Macaca fascicularis: one gene and its partners. The protein of the gene in region 3 purifies or fractionates together with the protein of the main gene of each other region. This does not show direct contact. Links are inferred from orthologs where the notes say so. Each region holds a gene or a part of one and is shown on either strand. Other genes may lie near its edges. The genes, in order: PPP2CA, PPP2R1A, INTS11 and INTS6.

The links.
Region 1: the proteins of INTS11 (region 3) and PPP2CA purify together in Homo sapiens (affinity purification with mass spectrometry; 4 studies listed by BioGRID and IntAct, with this or other methods). This does not show direct contact. The link is inferred for Macaca fascicularis from reciprocal best matches to the Homo sapiens genes INTS11 and PPP2CA.
Region 2: the proteins of INTS11 (region 3) and PPP2R1A purify together in Homo sapiens (affinity purification with mass spectrometry; 3 studies listed by BioGRID and IntAct, with this or other methods). This does not show direct contact. The link is inferred for Macaca fascicularis from reciprocal best matches to the Homo sapiens genes INTS11 and PPP2R1A.
Region 4: the proteins of INTS11 (region 3) and INTS6 purify together in Homo sapiens (affinity purification with mass spectrometry; 3 studies listed by BioGRID, with this or other methods). This does not show direct contact. The link is inferred for Macaca fascicularis from reciprocal best matches to the Homo sapiens genes INTS11 and INTS6.

What each region holds. Positions count from the first base shown.
Region 1 is NC_088380.1:140,719,158-140,722,148, forward strand, and holds the end of PPP2CA (serine/threonine-protein phosphatase 2A catalytic subunit alpha isoform), read right to left. Parts: intron 2,949-2,991; coding exon 2,830-2,948; intron 1,270-2,829; coding exon 1,197-1,269; 3' UTR 520-1,196; downstream 1-519. UniProt on the Homo sapiens protein: Catalytic subunit of protein phosphatase 2A (PP2A), a serine/threonine phosphatase involved in the regulation of a wide variety of enzymes, signal transduction pathways, and cellular events.
Region 2 is NC_088393.1:59,957,029-59,961,058, reverse strand, and holds the start of PPP2R1A (serine/threonine-protein phosphatase 2A 65 kDa regulatory subunit A alpha isoform), read right to left. Parts: upstream 2,842-4,030; 5' UTR 2,792-2,841; coding exon 2,714-2,791; intron 1-2,713. UniProt on the Homo sapiens protein: The PR65 subunit of protein phosphatase 2A serves as a scaffolding molecule to coordinate the assembly of the catalytic subunit and a variable regulatory B subunit.
Region 3 is NC_088375.1:233,455,055-233,459,250, reverse strand, and holds the start of INTS11 (integrator complex subunit 11), read right to left. Parts: upstream 2,821-4,196; 5' UTR 2,769-2,820; coding exon 2,741-2,768; intron 1-2,740.
Region 4 is NC_088391.1:30,616,927-30,620,954, forward strand, and holds the start of INTS6 (integrator complex subunit 6), read right to left. Parts: upstream 2,825-4,028; 5' UTR 2,313-2,824; coding exon 2,202-2,312; exon of another isoform or gene 1,835-2,201; coding exon 1,757-1,834; intron 953-1,756; coding exon 803-952; intron 1-802. UniProt on the Homo sapiens protein: Component of the integrator complex, a multiprotein complex that terminates RNA polymerase II (Pol II) transcription in the promoter-proximal region of genes.

The DNA of each region.
Region 1 (2,991 bases), on a different chromosome or scaffold from region 3:
ATTTAACTCTAAGAACATATGACTCAACAATGTACAAAGATTTAAGAATTTGCCAATCTGTCAATCATTTTAAAGAGTCCATATAATATACATAGCAATATAATATTCATAACCAGAAACTGCACTAAGTAAACACATCATTTAGTTTGTTAAGCTCTACCTGAAAACATGCTGTTTTATTAAAACAAAACCCAAAGACTTAAATCTCAAGTTATATGGTTTTACAATTAAGTCTTACTGAAGCAGCACAGATTTCCTTTCTTACAAACAAATTAATATGCAGGAAGAACCCACAAAGTGCACACCAACAATGTGACAAACTGTAATATGTGAAATACAAATAAATCCTGAAGTTAATCTGAAGAATGTCAAGGAGTTACCAGAGGTTATGTAGTGCCCTTGATTTTTATTTTATCTACAAGTCTACAAATTCTAAAATTTACTCAATTGATTTAACTTTTTTAATAAACAGCACCAGTCTTGCCCATTGATACAATTAAAATTTGACCTTCTCAGTTCTTAGTTCACAAGTTTATTATGAAAAACACTGCAGTGCTCTTGTGCAGTCACATCATCTTACAGGAAGGGAGAAAAAAACAGTTCTGTTCAAAACAACTCACCAGGTTCTGACAATAACAAAGAACAACATGGGGCTGAGATTTGAGTAGGGAATAAACTGAGTGCAGACAAATCATATAATTAAATTAAACGGTATCCCTGAAAATAAAAAGAACGATTTCAAAACTCACAAGTAGAAGGGAGGCCTTGGTACTTATTTTTAAAAATGTTCATTAAGCTCCAATGATTGTTTGCTGCTATCCTTATCTACAGTCATGCTGAGTAAAGCTATAGCTAAATGGAAGTTAAATTGTATTCACGAGGTGTTAATGTTTACATCTTATTATCTGCAGTCTCTCAGAGAAAGCAAAAGTAACTACAAATAGCGCTATGCCAGAAACTGGTTTCTTGACCAACAATGTCGCTTCAGCATGCAATGAACTGGTTCATTCTAAAGTGGTCACGGCTGTTGATGACAAGAGGCTTTGTATTTTTATATGGCACATCTTTTGGTCCATGTGAAAACAAGTTTTTTGAATGTTAACTATTTTCTGACACTTTGGAGTTACTGTTGCTCTTCCCATTTCCATTAGGTCGATATATGGTTCATGGCAATACTGTACAAGTTTAAAATTTCATTACAGGAAGTAGTCTGGGGTGCGACGAGTAACATGGGGCTCGCCTCTACGAGGTGCTGGGTCAAACTGCAAGCTGAAAAACAAGACAGATTCATGGTTTATGTTCCAAGACCTCCATGTACTGACAATCAAAATCAAGAACATGAGTCTTTCAAACTTTACACTTCCTATCCAATTTCAGCTTGTCTTAATGTAACAGAACCCTAATGATAATGGTCTGTTAACCGTACTCCCCTTGAAAGAGTCAAGGCAAATTCAGCCACAGAGACTATGCTTTTATAAAAATATGGTTTTTACCTTGACTGAAATTTCAAACAAAACAAAACATGGTTGGCGGGGCGTGGTGGCTCACGCCTATAATCCCAGCACTTTGGGAAGACGAGGCGGGAGGATAATGAGGTCAGGAGATCGAGACCATCCTGGCTAACACGGTGAAACCCCATCTCTACTAAAAAAATACAAAAAAATTAGCCGGGCACAGTGGCGGGCACCTGTAGTCCCAGCCACTCGGGAAGCTGAGGCAGGAGAATGGCGTGAACTCGGGAGGCGGAGCTTGCAGTGAGCTGAGATCGCGCCATTGCACTCCAGCCTGGAGGACAGAGCAAGACTCCGTCTCGGGGGGGGGGGGGGGGGGGGGGGGGGGGGGGAAGAAAAAGAAAAAACAAACAACAAAAAAACACAAAACATGGTTTTAAAAGTGAAAAACCTAGTAATTTATACTAGGATCTATATATAATAAGTTCCTGTGGGTGTGTTTCAATGTAGGTCCATTCAAAAACTTAAAAATAAAAGTTGGAATCTAACATAGTATAATCCCTTAATAAACTCTTTTTTGAGATGAAGTCTCGCTCTGTTGCCCAGGCTGGAGTACAGTTGCGGTATCTTGGCTCACTGCAACCTCTGCCTCCCAGGTTCAAGAGATTCTCCTGCCTCAGCCTCCCAAGTAGCTAGGATTACAGGCATGTGCCACCACGTTGGGCTAATTTTTGTATTTTTAGTAGAGACGGGGTTTCACCATGTTGGTCAGGCTTATCTTGAATTCCTGACCTCAGGTGATCCACCCACCTGAGCCTCCCAAAGTGCTAGGATTACAGGCGTGAGCCACCGTGCCTGGCCCCCTTAAACTCTTAAACCTCACATTTAACTATGTATTCAGGCTGGGCACTGTATCTTTTTTTTTTTTGAGACAGACTCTCACTCTGTCGCCCAGGCTGGAGTGCAGTTGTGCGATTTCGGCTCACTGCAAGTTCACACCATTCTCCCGCCTCAGCCTCCTGAGTAGCTGGGACTACAGGCACCCGCCACCACGCCTGGCTAATTTTTTGTATTTTTAGCAGAGACGGGGTTTCACCATGTTAGCCAGGATGGTCTCAATCTCCTGACCTCGTGATCTGCCCACCTCGGCCTCCCAAAGTGCTGGGATTCCAGGCCTGAGCCACCGTGCCTGGCCGGCACTGTATCTTATACTTGTAACGCCAACACTCTGGGAGGCCAAGGTGAAAGGATCACTTCAGCCTAGGAGTTTGAGGTAAGACTGGGCAATATAGTGACACCCTCTCTCTCAAAATAAATAAACAAACCAAAAACCTACATATTCAGTAATGCAATAAAATGTTCAAGTAGAAATACTTACAAAGAGTATTTTAGAGTATCGTCAAGTTCCATGATTGCAGCTTGGTTACCACAACGATAACAATAGTTTGGAGCACTGAAAATTGTTACTACATTTCGGTCATGGCACCAGTTATATCCCTACAAGGAAAAGGAGGCAAAAATCTTACTTTACTCCCTCAAT
Region 2 (4,030 bases), on a different chromosome or scaffold from region 3:
GAAGGAAGTGATCCTGGAGTTAAAAAAAACAAACTGGCTGGGCACAGTGGCTCACACCTGTAATTCCAGCACTGTGGGAGGCTGAGGCAGGAGGATCACCTGAGATCAGGAGTCTGAGACCAGCCTGGCCAACACGGGGAAACCCAGTCTCTTCTAAAAACACACACCCAAAAATTAGCCAGGGGTGGTGGCCTGCGCCTGTAGTCCCAGCTACTCAGGAGACTGAGGTGGGAGAATTGCTTGAACCCGGGAGACAGAGGTTGCAGTGAGCCGAGATCACGTCAGTGCACTCCAGCCTGGGCAACAGAGTGAGACTCCATCTCAAAAAACAAAACAAAACAACAACAACAAAAAACTATGGCCATATCTGTTCCCTCTTCCTGGGCAGCTCTTTCCCACCTTCTTTCCATCTCTTCTTAAATTCTGCATCCTCAGAGGGGCCTTGCCTGATTGGCCTACTTAAAATGGATCTGCCCCACCCCACTTTGTACTTGCTGTGCCCTCTGCCTTTAGGTGTGTTCTCAAACTTGATCTCAACAAGGCCTCCCCTCACCACACTTTAAAACTGCATCCCCCAGGCCGGGCACAGTGGGATTACATGCCTGTAATCCCAGCACTTTGGGAGGTCAAGGTGGGTGGATTACCTGAGGTCGGGAATTTGAGACCAGCCTGACCAACACGGAGAAACCCCATCTCTACTAAAAATACAAAATTAGTTGGGAGTGGTGGCACATGCCTGTAATCCCAGCTACTTGGGAGGCCGAGGCAGGAGAATCGTTTGAACCCGGGAGGCAGAGGTTGCAGTGAGACAAGATCACGCCACTGCACTCCAGTCTGGGCAACAGGAGTGAAACTCCGTCTCAAAAACAAACAAAAAAAACCCCTGCATCCCCCATCTCTCTTATTTTTATTTATCTCCCTACTGCTTATCTCCAGTATACTCTGTTTATTATCTCTCCTCACTGCAAAGTAAACTCCCCTACTGCATGCCAGTGCTTATAACAGTGACCTGCACAGAATAGAAGGCCAATTCAATATGGATTCACTGCCACAACATCCTGTTTGTTTCCTTCCCATCACTTTTCACACACTCTGTTGACCTGTTTCACACCTGAATCCTGTATAGCAACTGGTGTCTCCACTATATCCCCAGCATCATACCTGATACATGGCACGTGTTTACTGAACAAAAGAATTCATACAACCGCCCTACGAACTAGGTAATTATCCCCATAAAAGAGAAGAGGAAATAGGCTTAGAGAGATTAACTAACTTGCGCATGTCAATCAGTGAGAAGTGGAAGGGCCAGGAATACAACCACAGCCGGTCTGCCCCCAGAAACAGTGATATACCAGGAACCTAGGAGGCGGGACCCACGTTTGGCAGGTTACCCAGTGCACCTTGTTCAATTTTATAAATGCGAAAACTGAGACCTAAAGGGAGGATGGGACCTCTTTAATCACCACTCCCAATAATCACAGTTAATATGTATCAGGCCCTTACAACAGGTCTGACACCATTCGACTTTTTATTTGTGCCATAATTCGTTCAGTCCCTCACAAGTCCCTCCAGCAAGACCAGGACTACAATTAGCCCATATTTTATGGAACACGGAGGCCCAAAGCGGTGAAGTAATTTGCACAAGGTCACACAGCGGGTGGCAGCCCTGCTCAGAGCCTTGGGCCACCGCATCCCATAACCAGGAATGTTCATCCGGGCTGGGCGCCGTGGCTCACGCCTGTAATTCCAACACTTTGGGAGGCCGAGGCGGGTGGATCGCTTGAGGTCAGGAGTTCCAGACCAAGCCTGGCCAACGTGGCGAAACCCGTCTCTACTAAAAACACAAAAATTAGATGGGCGTGGTGGCTCGCGCCGGTAATCTGAGCTACTTAGGGGGCTGAGGTGCGAGGATCGTTTGAACCCGGGACGCAGAGGTTGCACTGAGCCAAGATCGCGCCACTGCACCCCAGCCTGGGCGACACAGGGGCTGTCTCAAAGAAAGAAAGAATGAAATGTTCATCCACTTAGCAAATCCTTCACCCCCTATCCTGATCAATGGGAGGATCTGGGGAGATGGGGAAGCGGGTTTCTACAACGTAATTCGTTCTTCAATTTGGCTAGTCCCCACCTTTGGTGGGGGGGGGGGGGTGTTTTTGCGTCCCCGTCCTCTCAGGACACCTAAACCAAAATGAGACGTGGAGAAAGAGCAGGAATTGGGATGGCAGGCCTTCGCCTCTCGGTCCCCACTTGGGCCAGCAGTCGAAACCCAGAAAAGAAAAAAACCTTCCCAGGTCCTGACCCATCAGGCGGCTCTCCCCCACTCGGAGCAAGTCACGAGCGCCCCACATCTCCAAGGGGCCATTCAGAGGCCGCCGCCAATCACGGAGCCCTCCTCTCTCCCGGACCCAGTCCGCCGACCCCAGCCCTGGCCGCAACCTCCCAGGACCGCGGATCGCGGACCGCGGACCGCCGCGCGCACTGAGCAGGCCCGGGACCCTCGAGGCTAGCGCAGGCCCCCGCCCTTCACTGGGCCAACACCCAATCGAGGGCGCCGTCTCAATGAGTCCGGGCACCCGGGGAGATAAGAGACGCACGTTGATTGGCCGCCGCCCCTTCCGCCACTCCCAGCGAACGCTGAGTCTTCTCCGCGAGGGCTGCCCATGCCCCCAGGTACCCCTCCCCGTCTTCCCCAAGTCCCCCGTAGCCTCCGTACCTGAACGTCCTCGTTGCGGAGTTCGTCTATGAGCACCGCGATGGGGTACAGCGAGTCGTCGCCGTCGGCCGCCGCCATCTTGGCTCTGTCCCGTTCCTGTCAGACTGCGGCCAGCGCTCTGCTGAAACGGGGGGGCAGAGCTGGGAGGAGGAGGAAAAGCACGCGTGGGGGCGCCCGAACCAGTTTACAGGGGCTGCTCCACGGCCATTGGCCGCGCTACGCCGGCCTAAACCCGCGTTTCTTTGGTCCGGACTAGTGAAGTCCCGCCCACTTCCCATTTGCCATTGGTCGAGTGAACGAGATTTGACTAGTTTGAGCCTAGGGGAGGGGGAAGAAAAGCGGAAGTCAGCCGTGTCCTAGCGACCAAGATTGAACCCGCCTTCGTCGCTGCTAACAACGACCGGGACGAGCAGTTGTTTCTAGCCAATGAGGGGCGATATGGGGAGGACGCTAAGCCTGACCTTTGGTGGGTCCCGGGGATGGTTTCTGCGCGTGCGTAAGTGGTAATACGTGACGTCATGTGGGGAGCGGGAGGGTGTGCAGGTTTTGGGTTACCAGGCCATGGTTCCGCTGGCTGGCAGGCTGGCTCCCCGCGCCTTTGCGCGGCCGGAGGAGGGAGTGAGACTTTTATTTGTGTTTGATTTATGCCAAGGCCCAGAGAAGGGAGCGGCTTGCCCTGCTGTCTCTCTTTTTCTTTTTCTTTCTTTTTTTTTTTTGCCTTTTTAAAGACAGGGTCTCGCTCTGTTCCCCATGCTGGAGTGCAGTGGCGCGATCTTGGCTCACTGCCGCCTGGACCTCCCCGGGCTCAAACGATCCTCAGGCCTCAGTCTGCAGAAATAGCTGGGATTATAGGCTCGCGCCGCTAGGCCCGGCCAGTTTTTTAAAGAATTTTTGTGGAGACGGAGTCACTGTGTTGAGCTCAGTTGCCTTGCTCTTTGGATGAAACCCAAGTTCCTCGGGCCGGTATTCAATACCTTGTCTAGGCGCGTCTCCCGCCTCCGTTTTTTACCTTTTGTCTGATGTCCTGGAAAATCAGAGCTGCCTGAGCACATCTTGCGTTTTCGTGCCAGCAAGGCTCCTTGCCCAAGCTGTACGTTCTGCCTTTCTTATTCACTTCTCAGATCTCTGCGTAAATGCTCTTGTTCTCTAGGCTTCCAGAGCCACCAGAACCTCTCTCTCTGTCTCTCCAATCCCATCTATGTGTCTCAATCCCAGAGCCTGGGCTGTGACTATGCATTCGAATCTGTTTCCTCCATAGAGTGGGAGCAGGATTGGATCTGACTAATCTCTGTTTTTAACCTCTTCAACAAAGCCCCA
Region 3 (4,196 bases):
GGCAACACAAGCCCCACACCACTGCCCACCACGCAGCCCCCAACACAGACCCTAATCTGCAGCCCTCCCACACTCCTGACAGCCAAGCAGCCCTGCCCAGCTGCTCCAGCCAGAGGCCTTGGCCAGCCAAGGCACACTCAGCCCCCTCATGTGACCTGGAGGCCCACAAGGAAAGGGCCATGGCCCCTGCACAGCCTGTGCCTGGGCGGGAGTCTGATGGCCGTGAATGGCCTGGTTTTCCCCTTGAATCCCCACCCACCTTCCCCGACCAGCCACCTGAAACGTCCAAAGCCAGCACCACACATCAGGATAGCGGGGCCACAGCCGAGGGCCTGCCTGCCACGAATGGGGGTCTCAGGTTCTCTTCTAGGCCTGTTCCTGCCCCCACTGGGTGTGAGCTCTCTGAGAGCAGGGTCTCAGCTGTCTCCTCCCTCTGCACCTCCTACCCCAAGCCATGCCAGGCTCACAGAGGCCCTCTGGCATCTGTGGGAAGGGAGGGCCGCCCCTCTTCACAGCCAAGGACCTAAGGCCACAGAGGCACTTGTGGCCCTGAAGCGTGCGGCCTGGCTTGGTCTTCTGAATTCCAAAGCCCAATCCTGAGGTACTGGCAGTCCCGCCTCCCAACAGGACCCACAGTGATCCCAGGGAATAGAGCCTGGAGCTACAGGAGGGGACAGGGCTGAGAAGACAGAGGAGGAGGCATCCCTGTCTGCAAGGAGACAGACAGCAGACAAGTGAACAAGACACCTCGAGTACACCAGATGGAGGCTACTGTGACAGAAGAGCAAGGTAAGAGGATGAGGAAGCCTTGAAACTTCCAGAACCATGACAGGAAAGTGCTCCCTGAGAAGCCAACTTTTGAGCAGGATGGGGGAAGGGGGAGGAACAGGGTTGGGAGGGACAGGCAGGGTCGGGGGACAGTCACGCACAGGCGAGGGCGTGGGAGTGACCCCAAGGACACAGCACTGGCCCAGTGAGCACGGAGCCCAAGGCAGTCCCTGGCACAGGGAGGTGGGGAAACAGTTCTGCTCTGCCGATACCCTGGCTGAGGTGACCTTAAGAATACACCCAGGCTCAAGCCTGTAATCCCAGCACTTTGGGAGGCCGAGACGGGCGGATCACGAGGTCAGGAGATAGAGACCATCCTGGCTAACACGGTGAAACCCCATCTCTACTAAAAAATACAAAAAACTAGCCGGGCGAGGTGGCGGGCGCCTGTAGTCCCAGCTACTCAGGAGGCTGAGGCAGGAGAATGGCGGGAACCCGGGAGGCAGAGCTTGCAGTGAGCTGAGATCCGGCCACTGCACTCCAGCCTGGGCGACAGAGCGAGACTCCGTCTCAAAAAAAAAAAAAAAAAAGAATACACCCAGGTACAGACTGGGAGCCACTGAAGCCACATGAAAGATCAGACTGTCCAGAGAGTGGGTAGAACAGGCAGCCAAGAGGCCAAATGGGAAAGGGGCAGTCTGGGAGGACCCAGCAGAGGCCCCAGAGAGCAGGGGAGGGCAGCAGGGCCCACCCTAACACCGTGGGCTGTGCACAGGCCAGGGGTGTTCACAGCACAGTATCCCCGCCGGGGCAGCAGGCACCCCTCCAAGGAAGCGCTCATGCCATGAGGAAGGACATGTAATCTCATCCCAGTGTCTGTGCTGGAAGATGCCCTCGACCCCCTGCCCAGTGGAAGGACCAGGTTCCAGGACAGCACAGGGCAGGCACGTGTGGAAAACGCCCAGGACATCAGGATGGTTGGCCACCAGCACCATGTCCCCCCAGGTGTTTCTGAGACCCTGGGTTTTGACTAATTCTTTCCTCCTTCGCATTGTTCTATACTGTTAGGACTTTGACTTTTTTTGACATATGGTCTTGCTGTCGCCCAGGCTGGAGTGCAGTGGCACAATCATGGCTCACTGCAGCCTCGACCTCCCGGGCTCAAGCAATCCCCACAACTCAGCCTCCTGAGTAGCTGGAACCACAAGCACACACCACCATGCCCGGCTAATTTTGCATTTTTTTTTTGAGTGATGGGGTCTTGCCATGTTGGCGAGGCTGGTCTTAAACTCCTGGGCTCAAGCGATCCTCCCACCTCTGCCTTCCAACGTACTGGGATTGCAGGCGTGAACCACAGTGCCCAGCCTGTTAGGACTCTTAAGAGTATACATTTGTGTTTTTTGCTGGTTTTTTCAGTGTTGCAGAAATCAGGTAGAACAAGAGCTGAACTGAGAGTTGATTGTAATTTGGGCGTGAGCACAAGGAGTGGTGGACAGAAAGCAAGAGGTGAGGAGGCAGAAGCGGGACAGCGAGACTGGGGGGCTGGGCGGCTGAGAGGCTGGGGGTCTGCTAGGCTGAGAAGCTGGAGGACTGGGGGACTGGGGGACTGGGGGGCTGGGGGGCTGGGGGGCTGCGGGACTGAGGGGCTGGAGGCGGCAGCGCGCCGCACAGGGAGGTCAACGCACCAACGAAAGCGCACAGCGAGCGCGGAGGCCCCGCAGCCCCCTCTGCGACGTCCCCTCACGGCCGCCTGAACCTCGGGGCTCGCGTTCTCGCGTCACTGCCGGAGGCCGAGGGTGCAGGGACTCGGCCGCCTCTCGGTTCCCACCAGGGCCCACGCGGGAAGGAGGAGACCGAGGACGCCCGCGACGCGCACCCGGCTCCATGACAACCCGGAGGGAGCGGGGCGCCCAGCCCGCCCGGAGCCGCATACGGAGCCCGCCCCACAGCCCTGCCGGCGGCTCCCACTCACCCAAGGGCGTGACTCTGATCTCAGGCATCGTCTCCGCCGCGTTCCCAGAGCCGCGAGTCCCGCGCGCGGTGATGCACTGCGCAGGCGCAACCACCAGGGTGTCAACTTCCGGTGCGTTAGCCGGAAACGCGAGTCTGCGCGCCTGGCCTCCTGATTGGACAGCATCCAACCAATCAGGGCGGCGGGCGAGAGCGGGACAGGGCGGGGCGATGAGCGAGGGCGGGGCCCGGACGGCAGCTGTGGCCGAGGTGAGCGGCTCCGGCTCGGCGGCCGCACCTGCCCAACCCAACCGGCAGGGTACGGAGGTCGCCGAGGGACCGGGAGCGGGAGGGGACGTCGTCCTAGAAGGCCGGAGTGGGCGGGCGGCCGAGGACCCGGCTCCCGCGCAGGACGGAGCCGTGGCTCAGGTCGGCCCCTCCTCAGCACCACCCCGGGCCTCCACCCTTTCCTGGGCTCCCAGGTGGAGCAGGGACCCGAACCGGTGACCATCCAGTCCGGTGCCATCTGAAGCCCCCTTCCCAGGTGAGACTCGTAGCGCTAGCTCGACACGGTCTGGTTCCACCCACAAGGCCTGGGGCGCCGTGGTGGCCCCGTCTTCTGCCGTCCCCCCAGCCTGCTGTCAGCCACCGGGCTGTGTGTTCAGGCCGCCCTGGCGCCCAGCCCTGACCTTGGGCCGGTGGGCTGCCCTGGGAAAGGCCTGGAGGTGCCCTGGGTCACCTTCCTGGGCTGGCGAGCTGCCTGCCTCCTGCACAACCACTGCCCTTCCTGTTGTCCCGGAGCCACCAGCCACAGCTCTGAGAGGCTCCTGGCAGCTCCTGTTTGCCACTGGCTCGGATCTGGGCCGGCAGGCAGGCAAGGCCCGCAGAATATCTGGTGACCAAGAAGGAAACCCCAGAGCCTCAGAGACCATCTTCTCAGTGGACAAAATTAAGGCCTGAGGAGGGGAGGGGCGTGCTAGAAGTCTATGGGACTCCATCTTCCTGAGGCCCAGGAGCAGCCATTCCCTACACCTGAAGCCCGGTGAGCTCACATCTGGGGCCTCCGCCTGGTGCCAAGCACGCAGCCCAACCTGTGGGGCTTGCAAGGCAAGGCTTCAGCTCCCTCCGGGCACCAGCACTCCAGCAGCCTGGGCCACGGGCTGGGCAGTGCTTGTAGCCCATGTTCCCTAGTGATGAAGGGCCCAGTCCTAGGGCGCTGAGCAACCTGCACACCTGCTCCTGGCCAGGAGCTCTCACCACAGCTGGGTACCCTCCCTGTCCCTGCTGGAGTCCCTGCAGCCAGGGAGGGCAGGAGAGGGCTCCCAGCACCAACGGGCCTAGGAACCCCCAGGCCCAATGGGGTAAGGGTTCTTCCTGGTTGAGGTGGGATGCAGCTGAGTCTCAGGTTCCCTGGAGCAGGTGCGGGCCCTTGGGGCACCCGGGGAGACAGGGCAAGGGTGCTTGGTGACACACAAAGC
Region 4 (4,028 bases), on a different chromosome or scaffold from region 3:
TAACATTATATGTTGTTCAGTATCTCTTATTTCCAGGGCAAAGATATCATAAAATGTTACAATAGACCACCTTGCATTCTTCCTTAGTGAATTGTTGATTTAAAGCTCCTCTCACCCTCAAATAGATGAAAGTAAGTGAAATAAAAGGACCTGTGGGGGTTAAGAAACGAAGGGTTCTTTCATATTTTCCAGCAGTCTTTTTTGCAAAGGGTTTGGAGTTTAAATTAAAACTCTAGGCCTGAAATTTAATTCAGAATTCTTCCTGCAATAGTTAACTGTGTATGCTTCAAAAGGAGAAAACTTAATGTTCTCAGCCAGTGACTGTATTCCAGTGAAAATCTTCTTACCTTTCAGAATAGTTATACAGCATGATCACATTAAACCCTGATGCAACAAACAGATTAATTTCCTCTAACATCTTTACTAATATAGAAATGAAGACCACTAACTAGTGTCTGTAAGTCACTACAATAGTTGCACACACAACTTGAGTGTGGTGAGATAGGACGCTTTCCCTTTTAGGTCTTTAGTGAACTTTCAAGGGATTAAAATCAATGTATGTCAAATTTTTAGCAAAAGATTCAGATTCTAATCCTGAATACAAATGTATTTTAAAAGGGGAAAAAATGAGGGACATAAAATATATATAGTAGGGTAAGAGTTTTGCCTTTGAACAATGTGCATATTCTATTTTAATCTGGAATGTTTTATACGTGCATTTCATGTTATGTAGTTTTTGGATTGGACTGTTTTTCCACAAAATGAAAAATCAACTATTTTGCCACCTTATTATTCAACCTACCTGCCCATAGTTGTCTATGCCAGTTACTAATCTATTTAAATTTAATAAATCAAAAGCTGTCCTTAGGGATTGGCCAAGAGTCGTAAGTCCTTCAGCCTGAAGGTTTTTCAGTTCATTCATAAACGTTGCATGGTTTTCTTTCCATCCAGCCTGAAAAGAAAAATGTAAGATTTTTTTTTTTTTCATTTTTTAAAGCCATGTACACACAGCCGTTATAATCTGACAGTCACCAAGTAGCAGCTTCACTTTTGGTTGGTTTGGCTTGGTTAACGTGTTAATACTGTACCACTGCTGAGGAAACTCTCCTCCAAAGGTGGTCCAGGAATAAACCTGCTTCCTCTCTAGGTTTTGGTAGTTAACAACCTTAATACTTTATAACTTCACTGACAAATTTACTACCTAATCTAATACCCAAAATGTGGATATGTGAACGTACTAGTGGAAGCAGACGGGAGCCAGACTTAGGAAGTTAACCTGCAGCTGTCCCACCGGCCCTCTTAGGACGAATTTGACAAGACCAATCCTGGCAGCCCCGTATTTGGCTCCCGTGCCGGCCGGACCGATTCCCCTTTAATGCAAACCGGGGCTGTGCGCGGCCGGGCCCGGCTGTCACTCCGGCTAACTTGAATAAATATCCCCCACAGTTCATTGCTGCCGCTCACGCCGCGGAGGGGAAATGTCGGCCATGTTGATCGCAGCGCCGCCGCCGCCGCCGCAGCCGCCGGGCCGAGCCGGGCCGGGAGGGGACGGCGGTGGCCCCGCGACTCCGCGCCGCGCTAGGACGCTGCCGAGCGGGGGAGGGGGTGGGAGCCCGCAGGGAAGAGACCTCAGCGGCTGGGAGCGCAGCGGGTGGGGGAGGGGAGCATAATGAAGGGTGAATGGGGGGGCGGGGAGGGCGAGCGAGGAAGGAACAGGGAAGGGAAGAGAGGAAAGGGGGAGGGCGAGGGCTGTTACCTTGATAGCATAGGGCGGCTCTTCGAAAGTGACCAGCATATACCTGTCTCCTCTGCTGGCAGGGTCCCGGGCACGGAGCTGCGGGACGGGAAGAGGAACAGGGCGGGCGAGAGGGAAGCACAGAGGCGAGGTTACGAGGCGGAGAAGGGGCGCCCAGCTGCCCCGCCGCCCCCACAGTACCGCACACGCAGCGGCCACCCCTCCACGCCGCCCCCAACATACAGATCGCTCCCCACACACCGCCCGGGGCCGGAATCCGGGCCCCGGCCGAGCCCGGCTCGCAGCGCCCGCCCGCCCGCCCGCCCGCGCGGTGGGGGAGGGGGTCCCCGAGCCCGGCAGCTCCCGCAGTCAGGTCCCCGACACCCCCGCCCTGGCTGCCCTCCCCCACCCTGCCTCCCGCGGGCCGCCGGGCCGGGGTCGCCGCCCGGACTCGGTCAGTCGGTACCTTCATGAAGGTCTCTACCGCGCCTTTGGCCGTGTCCAGGTAGGTGGTGCCCAGATGGCTGCGCTGGTTCATAGAGGCAGACGTGTCTATCAGGAACAGTAAGATGGGCATAGTGCTGGCCAGGGACACCGGGGCCCGAGGTGGTGGAGAAAGAGGAGATGGTAGAGGTGGAGGCGCCGGTGGCGGCGACCGCCGCTACGCGGGGCGGGGGTGCGCGGCCCCCGGGAGGAAAACACCGTCTGGGTCTTTCCTCCGGCTGCGGGGAGTTTCTCCCCCGATAGTTGAGAGGAAACTCCCCAGACCCAGTCCTCCCCGTCGTACCCCCGCCTCCGCCTCCTCCTGCCTGCCTGCCCGCTGGGGCGGGCGCCCAGCCGTCTGTCTGTCGGTCCGTCCCCCCCGCCTCGGGGGTCCCGTCCCCGCTCCCGGCCCCTGTGTGTGTCCCAGCGGGAGACGGGCCTGGCTCCCCACCCCACCCCCGGTACAGGGAGTGGGGACCTGGGAGCTGGCTAAGAGGGGAGTGGGCTGAGGGGAGATTGGCCCTGGGGCTGTTGGGAGAAGTTTCAGGGACTCCCTCCGCACCCCAGCAGTGTCACCACTTTCTCAGCCCCTCTCGCTACTGAAGCGCTTTTCTCTCTCACACTCCGATTTTAACTCGGGCAGGGGCTGCGGAGGCTCCGCCCCTGACACGTCCCCGAGCCACGTGATACATCGCCTCGCCGTTCTATTGGCTAGTCCCTGCCCTCTCATTAGCATATTTAAACAGCTCAGGGGCGGGGGAAGCTTGCAGGCCGGCTCCGGGGACAGTTATTGAGCACGCGCGGAGGCGGGGCGTCGGGTGCGCGCGAGCGGGCGGGCGGGCCGACCCGGAGGCGGGCTTCGGGAAGGGGCGGGGCCGAACCGCGGAAGATCCGCGAGGTGGGGGCGGGGGACGCGTCCGCGCGCGCGCCGGCCGCGGCGGTGAGCCTGCGCGTCAGGGCCGCCGGCCTCTGGCTGTTGGAGGTGATTGGGGTCGACAGAAGGAAAAAAGGGGCTAGCGTCAGCGCCCCCTCTGAGGTGGCTGTATTGTGGACGAGTAAGAAGGGCTGAGTAAAGTGGACAAACACCTGGTTAGGAGAAGAGGACAGGTCCGCAGCCGCCCTTCCGAGGAGGACTCGGGGCCTCGCGGGCGCTGGAGGAGGTTCCTGGGCCTCGTAGGGCCGCCCCGGCGCGGGCGGGCGCGGGCGGGCGCGGGGGAGGGGAAGTGAGAGGTTGTTTATGACCGGGGACTAATCTCCGCGAGTCACAGCGCTCCCTCTGGGGAGTGCGGTTGAGGGGCTGTCCTCGCCCAGAACCTCGCTCGTCCTCCGGTGAGCGACGAGAGGTGGAAGTTGGACGCGCAGCGGGCCATGAACTCTGTCGTTGGAGGACCCGCCAAAAAGGAAGCAAACCTTCTTTTTCTTTATCCAGCCCCAAATAGGGCCTAGGGGACCATTCACATATCGATAAATGGTCTGTTGCCCGTTTTATTCTCTGGGAAATACAACTGATCCTACCAGAGAAATACCTGTCTCATGCCGTGTTTACCTAGAGCCATAGAATACCTGTTTCAGAGCTAAAGGGGACCTGAGCCCATCATAATCCATTACCTCGTGTGAAAGCGGAAACACTGACTTCAGCTTGTCCAGATGGCGCAGAGCATGGGTTTCCCGTAACCCCGCCTGTGTCTTTCCTTCAGTCTCGTCCCAAATGCCGTGGGAGGGAAGGCATTCTCTGTCAAGCTGCTGTCACCTTACCTGAAGTAAGGAGTCCACGCCTGTATGTCCGAGGAAAACAGTTTTCTCAAACACA